3 linked regions of the Callithrix jacchus genome follow. The protein of the gene in region 2 purifies or fractionates together with the protein of the main gene of each other region. This does not show direct contact. Links are inferred from orthologs where the notes say so. Each region holds a gene or a part of one and is shown on either strand. Other genes may lie near its edges. The genes, in order: ARFGEF2, MYCBP and OTUD4.

Evidence for each region.
Region 1: the proteins of MYCBP (region 2) and ARFGEF2 purify together in Homo sapiens (co-immunoprecipitation; 4 studies listed by BioGRID and IntAct, with this or other methods). This does not show direct contact. The link is inferred for Callithrix jacchus from reciprocal best matches to the Homo sapiens genes MYCBP and ARFGEF2.
Region 3: the proteins of MYCBP (region 2) and OTUD4 purify together in Homo sapiens (co-immunoprecipitation; 3 studies listed by BioGRID and IntAct, with this or other methods). This does not show direct contact. The link is inferred for Callithrix jacchus from reciprocal best matches to the Homo sapiens genes MYCBP and OTUD4.

Annotation. Positions count from the first base shown.
Region 1 is NC_133506.1:44,070,972-44,074,623, reverse strand, and holds part of ARFGEF2 (brefeldin A-inhibited guanine nucleotide-exchange protein 2), read right to left. Parts: intron 2,400-3,652; coding exon 2,241-2,399; intron 1-2,240. UniProt on the Homo sapiens protein: Promotes guanine-nucleotide exchange on ARF1 and ARF3 and to a lower extent on ARF5 and ARF6. Promotes the activation of ARF1/ARF5/ARF6 through replacement of GDP with GTP. Involved in the regulation of Golgi vesicular transport.
Region 2 is NC_133508.1:75,429,850-75,433,601, forward strand, and holds the start of MYCBP (C-Myc-binding protein), read right to left. Parts: upstream 2,525-3,752; 5' UTR 2,523-2,524; coding exon 2,439-2,522; exon of another isoform or gene 2,237-2,438; coding exon 2,065-2,236; exon of another isoform or gene 1-2,064. Other genes in the region: GJA9 (gap junction alpha-9 protein), read right to left, coding at 3,729-3,752. UniProt on the Homo sapiens protein: May control the transcriptional activity of MYC. Stimulates the activation of E box-dependent transcription by MYC.
Region 3 is NC_133504.1:51,842,243-51,845,894, reverse strand, and holds part of OTUD4 (OTU domain-containing protein 4), read right to left. Parts: intron 3,264-3,652; coding exon 3,209-3,263; intron 2,986-3,208; coding exon 2,868-2,985; intron 2,773-2,867; coding exon 2,708-2,772; intron 1-2,707.

The sequences.
Region 1 (3,652 bases), on a different chromosome or scaffold from region 2:
TAATTCCACCAAAGAGAAACATCCCCTGATTTCTTCACACAGCATGATACTATTAAATTATTAGTAGTAACCTAGTAATGCCCTTTCTTTTGCAGAAGCTGGGGATAGCTGGAATTCGAAGTATGTCACCAATACTGAAAGGCCAAGAGCTTATTAGTTCCAAGCTGATTTCTCAGGGCTTCTGACAACCACAGAGGTAGCTAATTAATTTTCAACATTTCTAGATCCTATCATATACTTGGCAGGCAGCAGGAACTTCATATTGGTCATACCTCCCAGCCTAAAAAAAGTTTTAGAAGAAAAAGCAAGTATTCATTGATTCTCTAGGTATTATGACTCCTTACAAGGCAGAAAATGATTTTAAAAAGCACACAACTCAAAATTTTTTTTCCTTTTAGAGACAAGGTCTTGCTCAGTTGCCCCAGCTGGAGCACAGTGGTGCAATCGCAGCTCACTGCAGCCTTGAACTCCTGTGCTCAAACAATCCTGCTGCCTCAGCCTCCCAAGCAGCTGGGACTACAGTCATGCACCACCATGTCTAGCTATTTAAAAAACAATTTTTTTTTAAAGATACGGGGTCTTGTTATGTTGCCCAGGCCGGTCTGGAACTCTTCGTCTCAAGCAATCCTTCTGCTTCAACCCCTAAAAGTGTGATTACAGATGTGAGCCACTATGCCCAGCTGTAACTAAGTTATTTCTAACGTGGGTTACTCAGAGTTGTGACAGAGAGAGGAAAGGCTGGTGAAGAGGGGCAAAGCCAGGTGCCACAAAGAAGACAGCCGGTAACACTAATGAGTTCTTACTCCTTGCCAAATACAGTCCCGAGCCCTTTTCATTCTCATAACCACCCTATGAAGGCTGCAGAGATAAAGAAGGTGGGACTTGGTGACAAAGTAACCTGCCTGTGCCATCCAGGCAGGAGAGGTGGAGTTCCAAATTGGGCCCCAGTTGCCAGGCTCTAGAGCCTTTACTCTGAGCCACTTGGTCCACCTGAAGAAGAAGGATGACAGTAATTTTCTTTCTATGTCAAACCATCCTTTACATTCTCCACAGCCTCATCTCTATTCTTCCACAATTTTCTCTCTAAACAAAACAGTAATACATGCAGATGGTAGAAAAATACTAGAAATGAAGAAAAACGAGAACGAAACAGTTTCCATTAATTCCATCACTCAGACAAGAATGTTAATGCTTTGGTCTATCCTTTCAAACTCCATTCTCTGTGTATTTTCCCACAAGAGACAATGCCTCACAGTGTCTTATAACAACTTGTAATTTTACTGTGACTGTTTTCCCACAATAGTCTTTAATACCATCTTTATCTTTTTTTCTGAAATCTCTTTTAATCCATAGGTACCCTCCTCCCTTCCACTTATTTTTCTTGCAATTTATTTGCTGAAAAACCTGGTCTTCTGCTCTGCAGATCTGTCACACCTAGAGTTTGCAAGCTGTACCCTTATATCTAACAGGCTTCTCTTTTCATTGTTTCTTCTGTAAACTGGCAATATAGGCTTGAACTGATTCAGATTTGAGTCGGGGCTAGCACATTTCTTAGGTAGTATTGTGCACTTCTATCAGAGAGCACATACTATCTGCCTATCTTTTCTTTTCCACAACATTATTTTAAATGGCCACATAACCTAAGGAATGCTGTACCATACTTTAAAAAAAAATAGCAATCTCTTATATTGTTGGGACATCTAGCTCTTTTTAACCCAACCTTTTCCCTAGAACAACTAAAACTGCAACAAATATCCTTTTAAATACATTGCTGTATACCTAAGTAATTGTATCCTTGGGTGAGAATCTTAGAATACTGTTTAAAAAAAAATGTAAACTCACTAGCACTCTACTGAACGTTCATTGCGACTGCCAACCATTTCTAATCAGGCTCCTGGCTTTGTCTTAAATTTATACATTGATCATAGGAGCTCCCAACCTCCCAAGAGGTACATAATGACTTTTAAAAAAGTGGCATTAATATGGAAAGAAAGCTGCAACAATAGACGTACACTTCATGGGGGACATTGGCTGCTGGGTGCAAGGGTGCTCACTGTGAGCTGGTGCACCTGAACTCGCTCCCACCTTTCACAGCCCCAGAGAGGGTGATTTTCAGATACATGTGGTACAGTGAGGCTTGACTTCAAGAAAAATTGAATTGACCAAAAGAGATCAACAATGAATAAAAGGAAGCCAGGAGTCATCCTAACTGAGAAAAGGCAATTCAAAGAGACACATACCTCATGCCAAGAATTCCCAAGGTAGTTACCATCAGTGTGAGCCACTGTGATAAGTGTCTTAATGGTGTCGATGTTTTTCTGCTTCATTTCTGTGATGCTGGAGCTGGCTGTGAGCAGGGAGAAGCGAGCAAGAGCCTGAACATAGGCATCTCGTTCCAGCTGTAACAGAAGCCCAAGAGAAAACACTGTGACTCCAACCCTAGAGTGGCCACTCTCACATCTGCAGGGCTGGCACACTGGGCTTCTCTAATACCTTTTGTATGCACACTGACTGGCTTTCTGCACATTAACACAACAGTTATTCCATGCTAATGCCCTCTCACTTTTGAAACATCTTGCAGAGAGGCTCTCTATGTACTGCCACATGTTTGAGAAGCAGCTCTCTCCTTTCTAATTGACTACAAACTTATCAGTCCCATGTTCCATTATGTCTGCTGAATGCTAAGATTGTCACATAAATTCTGACATCTCCAATAATTCTGCCAGGGAGGTCTGTTTTCTCAAGTTTACAAATGAGAAAATGAATTGGTGTCTTGGAGAGACATTAGCTGGGCCAATGTTACATGGCTGGAGAAGTGGCAGAGCTGGGTTTTGAAGTCTAGATGGTCTAACTTCAAAGCTTGTGGTCTTGGTATAAAAGAAAATGTCTAACTGTAAAATGAATGGGAACAGAAGATTGAGTTTTTAAAAATAAATGGGGTGCAACTTCTTACTGACTTACAAAGTGATGCATGGGATTTTGCCAACCTCCTAATTTCATAACAGTTTCAGAATTATATTTCATTTATATGCTTAAACTTTTCAAGTTTCAGAAGGTTTACAGACATATTCATATTGCACTGAACTACTTGTTTCTCCAGGGAAGAGTTGGAAATATGAGAAATTATAATAAAAACTGATCTTAGAAAATAATATTTTTATACACCAAAGTAGGCAAGTTAGGCAGATGAACAGGAAGTCTGTTTTGTCAAATCCAGTCAAGTAGCTTGAACCCTACCCCCTCCTTTTTCTTTTAATTTTGAGATGGAGTTTCACTCTTGTTGCCCAGGCTGGAGTGCAATTGTGCGACCTTGGCTCACCATTATCTCTGCCTTCTGGGTTTAAGCGAGTCTCCTGCCTCAGCCTCCCAAGTAGCTTGGATTGCAAGCATGCACCACCACGCCTGGCTAATTTTGCATTTTTAGTAGGGATGGGATTTCTCCATGTTGGTCAGGCTGGTCTTGAATTCCCGACCTCAGGTGATCTGCCTGCCTCAGCCTCCCAAAGTGCTGGGATTACAGGTGTGAGCCACTGTGCTTGGCCTACCTATTCTTAAAGACAGTTTTAATCCATATCTCCATTTTTGCCCCTAATGAACTGTCATCATAAAGCTATGGATTTCTTCTTAGTAGGCATGAGTAAGTAGTTTGCTA
Region 2 (3,752 bases):
TAATAAATTACATCAATACTGTGTTGTTTGATTTTATTTAGGAGCCTGGAAATCTAAGGAGATTGAGAGGTTAAATTCCAGTGGAGTCCGGGTGAGGTGGCCCACACCTGTAATCCCAGCACTTTGGGAGGCTGAGGCAGGTGGATCACCTAAGGCCAGGAGTTCAAGATCAGCCTAGCCCACATGTTGAAACCCCGTTTCTACTAAAAATACCAAAAATTAGCTGGGCATAGTGACACATGCCTGTAATCCCAGCTACCTGGGAGGCTGAGGCAGGAGAATTGCTTGAACCCGGGGGCTGCAGTGAGCCAAGATCATGCCACTGCACTTCACCCTGGGCAACATCTTCTGTGTAATCAGTTACCTCCTAAAACTGTCATTTTTCTGCCTTTTACCATTCAGTCTTTCACTTGCTCCATCCAACCACTCTGGCCTACTTATATGTTCTGGAACTCTTGACATATATTATTTCTTTCAAGTTTTTGCTCAAAAGTTACTAAAGAAAGCCCCGCCCCCCCACACACACTATAAAAATGACACACACATCACCACCTGTCACTTTTTTTTTTTTTTTTTTGAGACAAGGTCTTACTCTGTTGCCCAGTGACACAATCACAACTCACTGCAGCCTTGACCTCCTGGGCGCAGGTGATTCTCTCACCTCAGCCTCCAGAGTAGCTAGACTACAGACAAGCACCATGTCAAGCAATTTTTTTTTTTTTTTTTTTTTTTTTAAAGAGACGGGGTTTTGCCATGTTGCCTAGGCTGGTCTTAAACTCCTGGGCTCAAGAGATCCACCCACCTCAGCCTCCCAAAGTGCTGAGATTACAGGCATGAGCAGTGCCTGGCCTCACCTGTTCCTCTTTATCCCCCTAACTCTGCTATATTTTTATCTGTAACACTTATCACTGGCTGACACTACAATTTATGTATTTGTCTCCCTCAACTAGGATACAAGCTTATGAGAGCAGAGACTTTTATCTTCACCTGCTGTATCTCCAGTGGGCAGAACAAAGGCCTAAGTAAAATGATTAAATAAAAGAAATGAACTTATGGAGTTTTTAGAGGGAGTGACATTCAAAGCATCTGTGACACTTCCAGAGACAACAGTGCACAGTGCTTTCACAGAGCAGTCCCTTAATATTTGTTGAAGTTTATTTGCAAAGAGGTAACCTATTATCTGAACCTGGAATAGGTAGCAATTCAAAATTACTAGCCCATGGAAATTAAAAGCCTGCCTTCTGCTAAGACTCAGGAGTTATGATCCTAGAATTTTCCCCTAAACTTTGCTTCTGTCCAAAGAGCAGTTAACAATTTATTTCCCACACTTCCCAAACTTCCTAGTTTCATTTCACCTAGGTCCTCATCCCTGCCAACAATTCCATTCTACACCCTTGAAAATCCCAGAGTTGAGTGACACACAGCAGGCATTCAAATTACTGCTAAGCTAATGAAGTAAACTGTATCCTACCCTTTGGAATTCTGTTTCCAACACTTTACTCATTTACTTACTTAGATCTTGAAGCAACGAAGGAAGAGATGGTGTTAACAGTAAGCTTTCATTTTTAAAAAGTGAAAACGATATAATCATTTTGATGTGCCCTCGAGCTCTTTAAACTGTAATTCTACTTTATGAAATATACACAAAATAAGAATTGACACAGACTAAGGAATGGGGGTTGAAAAGCCACAGCCAAATTAGCTATGAATCGCCTATTTTGGGGATTAGGTTCACTCAGCTACTTCATAGCCCACTTTCAAATTCGGTCATTTTTCCAGTTGCTCTTTGTTGGATGGAAAATGTTTCTTAACAAGATTATGAGGACTCCACAAAAACTGTAAGGTGGGAGGAATTGGGATCTGAAGGTCTTTGGCAAGCACGTCCACTGCGGCTGCTCGAGGCAAAGCAACGGAAGTTGGAGAGACTTTGCAACAGCTGCAAGAGTTTCACTCCCGGTGCGGAGAAGGGTAGCGTAGTTAGGCTACCCCACCCGGGCGGCGTCCAGCAGCCAGGGCCCTGCCGAACCCCGAGGCCCACCTCGCTGGACCCCGCACGGCTCCCACCTGTTTCCCCTCCTTCCCACGCTACGGCCCGCTGGGGAACGAGGCAATGCCAGGGAGCACGATGAGGGCACAAGGTATCCTCTCCTAGCCCAGGCTCACCCTTGGTCAGTGTGTCCAGCACCCCAGACTTCTCCAAGTACCTCCGGAACTGCTCACGCTTCGAGTCGGCGGCCTGAGGAGACACCGGGGGTCAGTGGCCAGAGCCTGGGGGCCGAGCAGGAAGAAGGCGCTGGGAGTCCGGCAACCCCGCCTCCGCCTCGCTACCTCCGGCCCACCCCGCGCCGAAACCTGCGCGCGCGACCCCACTCCCACCCGGAGCCGACCAGCGGCTTCCTACCGCCCGCATGCCCCCAGCCACGCCGCGCCCCCCTCACTTTGTAATGGGCCATAGTGACAGCGGCAACGGCGTAGCTGGCGCCGGAGACCGCGACTGGCGGGCTGGGAACAGCACTGCTCATGCGCGGAAGGGGCGCGCGCCTGCGCACTTGCGAACCACGAGCCGGAATCGCCGGGGTGTGGCCTGTTTTCATGGCTACCAGGACGCTCTGCATCCTCCGTAGCAGGCTGAGCCAAGGGAGGCTGCGTATGCCCGCCCCTCTGGCTATTGGAAGCGCAACTCTTCCTTTTCCGGTCGCCGTAGCGTTTCGTTTTCTTTGCAAAAGGCGAGATTTTTGTAGCTTTGTCCAGGTGATCGGCCTGGCGTCCGGAGGCAAGGCCCGGGAGCTTTGGGACTATTGCAGGAGGAAGGATATCCGCACGGTAGCGAGCGCATCTTTCTCATCTGGGACCTCGGAAGTTGTGGTGACCCATAGGTGCTAGGCTTCTTGGCTCTCATTCTGAGAAAGTGCTCACAGCTTTGCAATAGCTGAGGAGGGTGTTTAGAATCGTATATTTTGGCCCCAGCTTTTATCTTTAGAGTCTCCTTGAGTCGTGGCTGACTTGATGCGGGCCTCTAAGCAGTAACGAGCTGGCAATAGTTTTTGAGTGTTTACTGTGTGCCAGGCACTGTGGAAAACACAGGTATTTTAAATTTTAATCCTCACAACACCCCTGTAGTGTGGGTACAGTTAATAAAGTGGAGAGGTTAGATGTCCAGTGAGTAGAGCCGAGTCCAATGCGGGCCGTGAATCACGATGCTATCAACTGGTGAAAGAAAGCCACGGATCTTTTAAAGATTTTATTTACTAGGTAGCAACATGTGATTATACTCAAGATACATCAGGATCCAATCCAGAAGGAAACTACGTGATTGTGTTCTAGGGGCAAACAAAATTAACCCAGTGTTCAAAGATAAAGGATTCATAACTAAAAGGTGGAAGTATATAGATCAAGAGCCATTTCCTAAGGCTGTGGTCTCTTCAAAGATAAAACCAGAATAGCCTCAATTTAGCCTCAATTCTGAACATACGATTTTCCCAAAATCAGTTACACACATTCGAAAGGACATCATTAAAAAATCCGGATTTGGCAGCTTTATGTCTTTGAATTTAGAAGTGTTTCTTCACCATCTAAAATCAGCTGTTTTTCCATTGCTGAAATAAGTTTGCAGTTGTCTCTCTTTAACAGCTGGTCTTTAGAGCGGCCCTTAACTATTTTATCTGTGCCCCACCACCACTAGGTTACTTCTATGATAATACATAAAATGTCTAAAAGCCAACCGCTATTCAGATCTGAAGATCTGTGGGAAC
Region 3 (3,652 bases), on a different chromosome or scaffold from region 2:
CCTTTGCATGAATCTTCAGTTTTTCGTTTTTTGGGGTTTTCGTTTTGTTTTGAGACAAGGTCTTGCTCTGTCACCCAGGCTGGAGTGCAGTGGCACAATCTCAGCTCACTGCAACCTCCACCTCCCTGGTTCAAGCCTGGGATTATCCTGCCGCAACCTCCCGAGTAGCTGGGGATTACAGGCATGTACCACCACCCTCAGCTAAGGTGTTTTGTTTTGTTTTGTTTTTTGTATTTTTAGCAGAGACAAGGTTTCACCATGTTGGCCAGGCTGGTCTTGAACTCCTGACCTCAAGTGATCTGCCTGCCTCAACTTCCCAAAGTGCTGGGATTACAGGCATGAGCCACCTCGCCCAGCCAGTTTTTTTTTTAATTTAGTCTTTGATTAAACAGAAAATAAAGCTTATCAGTAAAAACAAAGTATAAGTTCAAAAAGGTCTGCAATAAAATCCATCTCCTTAACCTCTCAGACGTCCCTATATCCTACCTAAAAGAAAAAAAACTTTTCTTCTCTGTTCCTTTAAATTTTTTTCTAAACTAATTTTCTAAATTATTCAAAAAGTAGGAGCACAGTATGTTAAGGCTCTAAACAAAAGAGGCAACATGTCCTGGTTCTGAAGGCAGGGCTGTGGTCCCACACACCCCAGGCTTCCAGGCCTGGCGTTTCCACTTACCGGCAATATGACCTCGAGCAAGTTATTTTTCTCTCCCTTCAGTTTCCTCATAATGCAAAATGGAGCTAATAATAGTACCTACATCACAGAACTCATGGAGATGGAATGAGAGTGCACAGGATACACATAAAGGATACCAACTTGCACACAGCAACCACTCTACAAATGAGAGCAACTATTATTATCTTCCCATTTTTCCTATATTAAAAATGTGCAACTGTGATTTTTTTTTTAATCCCTAAAAATAGATCCATTAACTGTTCTCTAGCATACAATTAGTAGTACCCAACGGTAAATCCATGATAAAAGAGTAATAAGCCTAAGGTTTCTTCCTATCGGTAATCTGCCCACATTGAATTGTGCACCTGCCAAGTATGACATACAGGACAATGCTTTAAGCAACCTCCCACTTTCAGTAGTAAATCAAAGTCCTCAATCTGATATTTCATTCTTTATCAGTCCAACAGACATTTTTCCTCCAAAAGTTTCAAGTAAAAAATTTTTTCTGAACTTGGTTTTTAATCAAAAGTTTAAACTACACTTAACTTCAGTAAACAAAAGTCACCTTAGAGTCAGTCACCTCAGTTTCTTAAAAGTTTAACGAAATGTTATCCAAATAAAATGGTCAAGTAGTAGAGATGGAAATAAAATACTCTAAAAAGGAAAAAAAATTAAAGTATGTGCTTTACTATCTACTTTATCAAAAACCTTCTTTACCAAAAGCAATTTCAACCTCAAATGAAATATGCTTGATTTAAAATAAATAACAAAACTTTAGTGATACAGTGTAAGCCATATTCTCTTCTCTGTTGAGGAGGGTAGGGAGAACGGCCTTTAAACCCTGGATTTAACCTCCTTTGTCCTCTTTCAAGTTTTCTCAGTCAATGCAGTAAAAGCTTCCGCAATTCCCTTCTACAATTAGAGCAGACAATCCCATAACACAGTACCTGAATGAATCATGTTCTCTTCTTCCTCACCTTTAAATACCCAGAATCAGAACTATTAAAGGTTCTGAAGATAAAGTCCATCGTTGATGTCCCAAATAAAATCCTGGCTAATCAGATGATTTCACATAAACCAATTTATCACATAATATGATAATATTATAATAATATTATGACTTAAAGTAAATGAGTGTTTCCTCCATAAGTCAAGAAGAAATGTTTGCCAATGACTGTTTTAAAGTAGTTTTTTTTAAAGGCAACACTTTTTGATGAAAATAATTTCTGATGAGAATTAACTTCCACATAACATCATCTGTATATGTGGGGGTTTTGTTTCTGTTTTTGAAATAGCAATATTTTTCTGTAAACAAAGAAGAGAAAACAAGAAAAGAGACCCTATAAATTATCTTACCTAGGGTTTCTTCTGCCTAAGCATTACTGACACTTTGGACTAGGTATTCTTTGTTAGAAGGACATGAGGGAGGCTGTCCTGTACATTGTAGAATGTTTGGCCACAGGTTTGGCCTCTACCCACTAGATGTCAGTAGCACCCTCCCAGTTGTGACAATAAAAACTGATTTTAATCCAACTTTTTCCTTTAACAATCAGTTACTCAAACCCAGGGCAGCTGCTTATCCAAATTAATTGGCAAAAACTCCTCTGTGGTTCACTTTCCTTCCTCAGTCCAACAGTAAACATTATGTATGTATCGAAATCTCCCAACATGATTTTCATAAACAAAACTAAATGACCTATAAAGTCAATTTTCAATCAATTTCCGTCTATTTTAACAAAAATACCTAGGTATCTGAAAAGGTATTGTTACTTCTTTGAACCAAGCAATACCAAATGCTGAATTACTTTTAAAGATCATGTGATGGATGCCACGGTTTTGAATACATACAATTTTGGCAATGTATTCAAATGAATCAAAAAGCTGAATACTTGTAAACTACTGAAATGTATATACATAATAAATATATTCTGAAATCCCAAATTAACAACACATTAACACCTCAGCTGTTTTCTCAGTTCTTATTAAAAAAATAAGGTTTCAAGTAAAATCCCTTCTTTTCCACAAGTCACTTACTTGACATTTGTCTCCAACTTCATATTGTAAGCCAGCAGCAATGGAATAATCACGTTTCTGCTGAGCTAGTTAAAAAGAAAAATTGAGTATAATATAAAGTTGACTTATTTTCAAGTGCTACAAAAAGCAAATTTATGGAAAATGCAGATTTTTAATTTACCTTGTTTAGACTTCAGCCAAATTTCATATTCTACATTTCTATAGACTGCGGGACTGAGTGACTTAAGAACCTTTCTAGATAAAGGCAGGCTAGCAGAGTTCCCATTGTTCTTCAGCTGCTAAACAAACAAAGTCAGGAAGTCCAATCAACACATAAGTGCTTTAAAACATTTTTGTCTAAGATACATGTAAGAGTAAAGTCAAATGAATAAAAGAAACTTGAAAAAATTAATAAGTCACCAAATAAATTTCTTAGTAGATGATTCTAATTTGACTGAAATGTATCAGAAAAAAGAAAAAACTTAAAACTTTAAATTTAAAACCACTTAAAAAAAAAAATACCTCATCCCCTGACGAAGGTTTAAATCCATTCACATCAGCAGCAGCAGTTTTACTCCTATAAAGAAAGATTACCATAATTAGGAGCAGAAAAAGATATTTGCATGTAATTACCTTCTAACCTCATCTAAAAGTCTTCAAAGTCAGAACTATGCTCCAAAACGTCAGAACTATATTCCAGTGAGCTCATACAAGCTTTATTATAAGTATATGTATATATAAAAGGGTATATGTAAGTAAATATGTGTATATAAGATAGATGTCAAAGACACCAGTAATTCTAACTGGCTCAGTAATCAATAAGAAAACAAAAATAAACTGTGAAATAAGGATGGGTAGAGTAACTGAATTTACAAAACAATGTAAAAACTTCCTTTCAATATACACCTGAGGCCCCGTTTAAAAAAAATACTCTATTTACAACAAAACTATCTATTGGCAGATTTG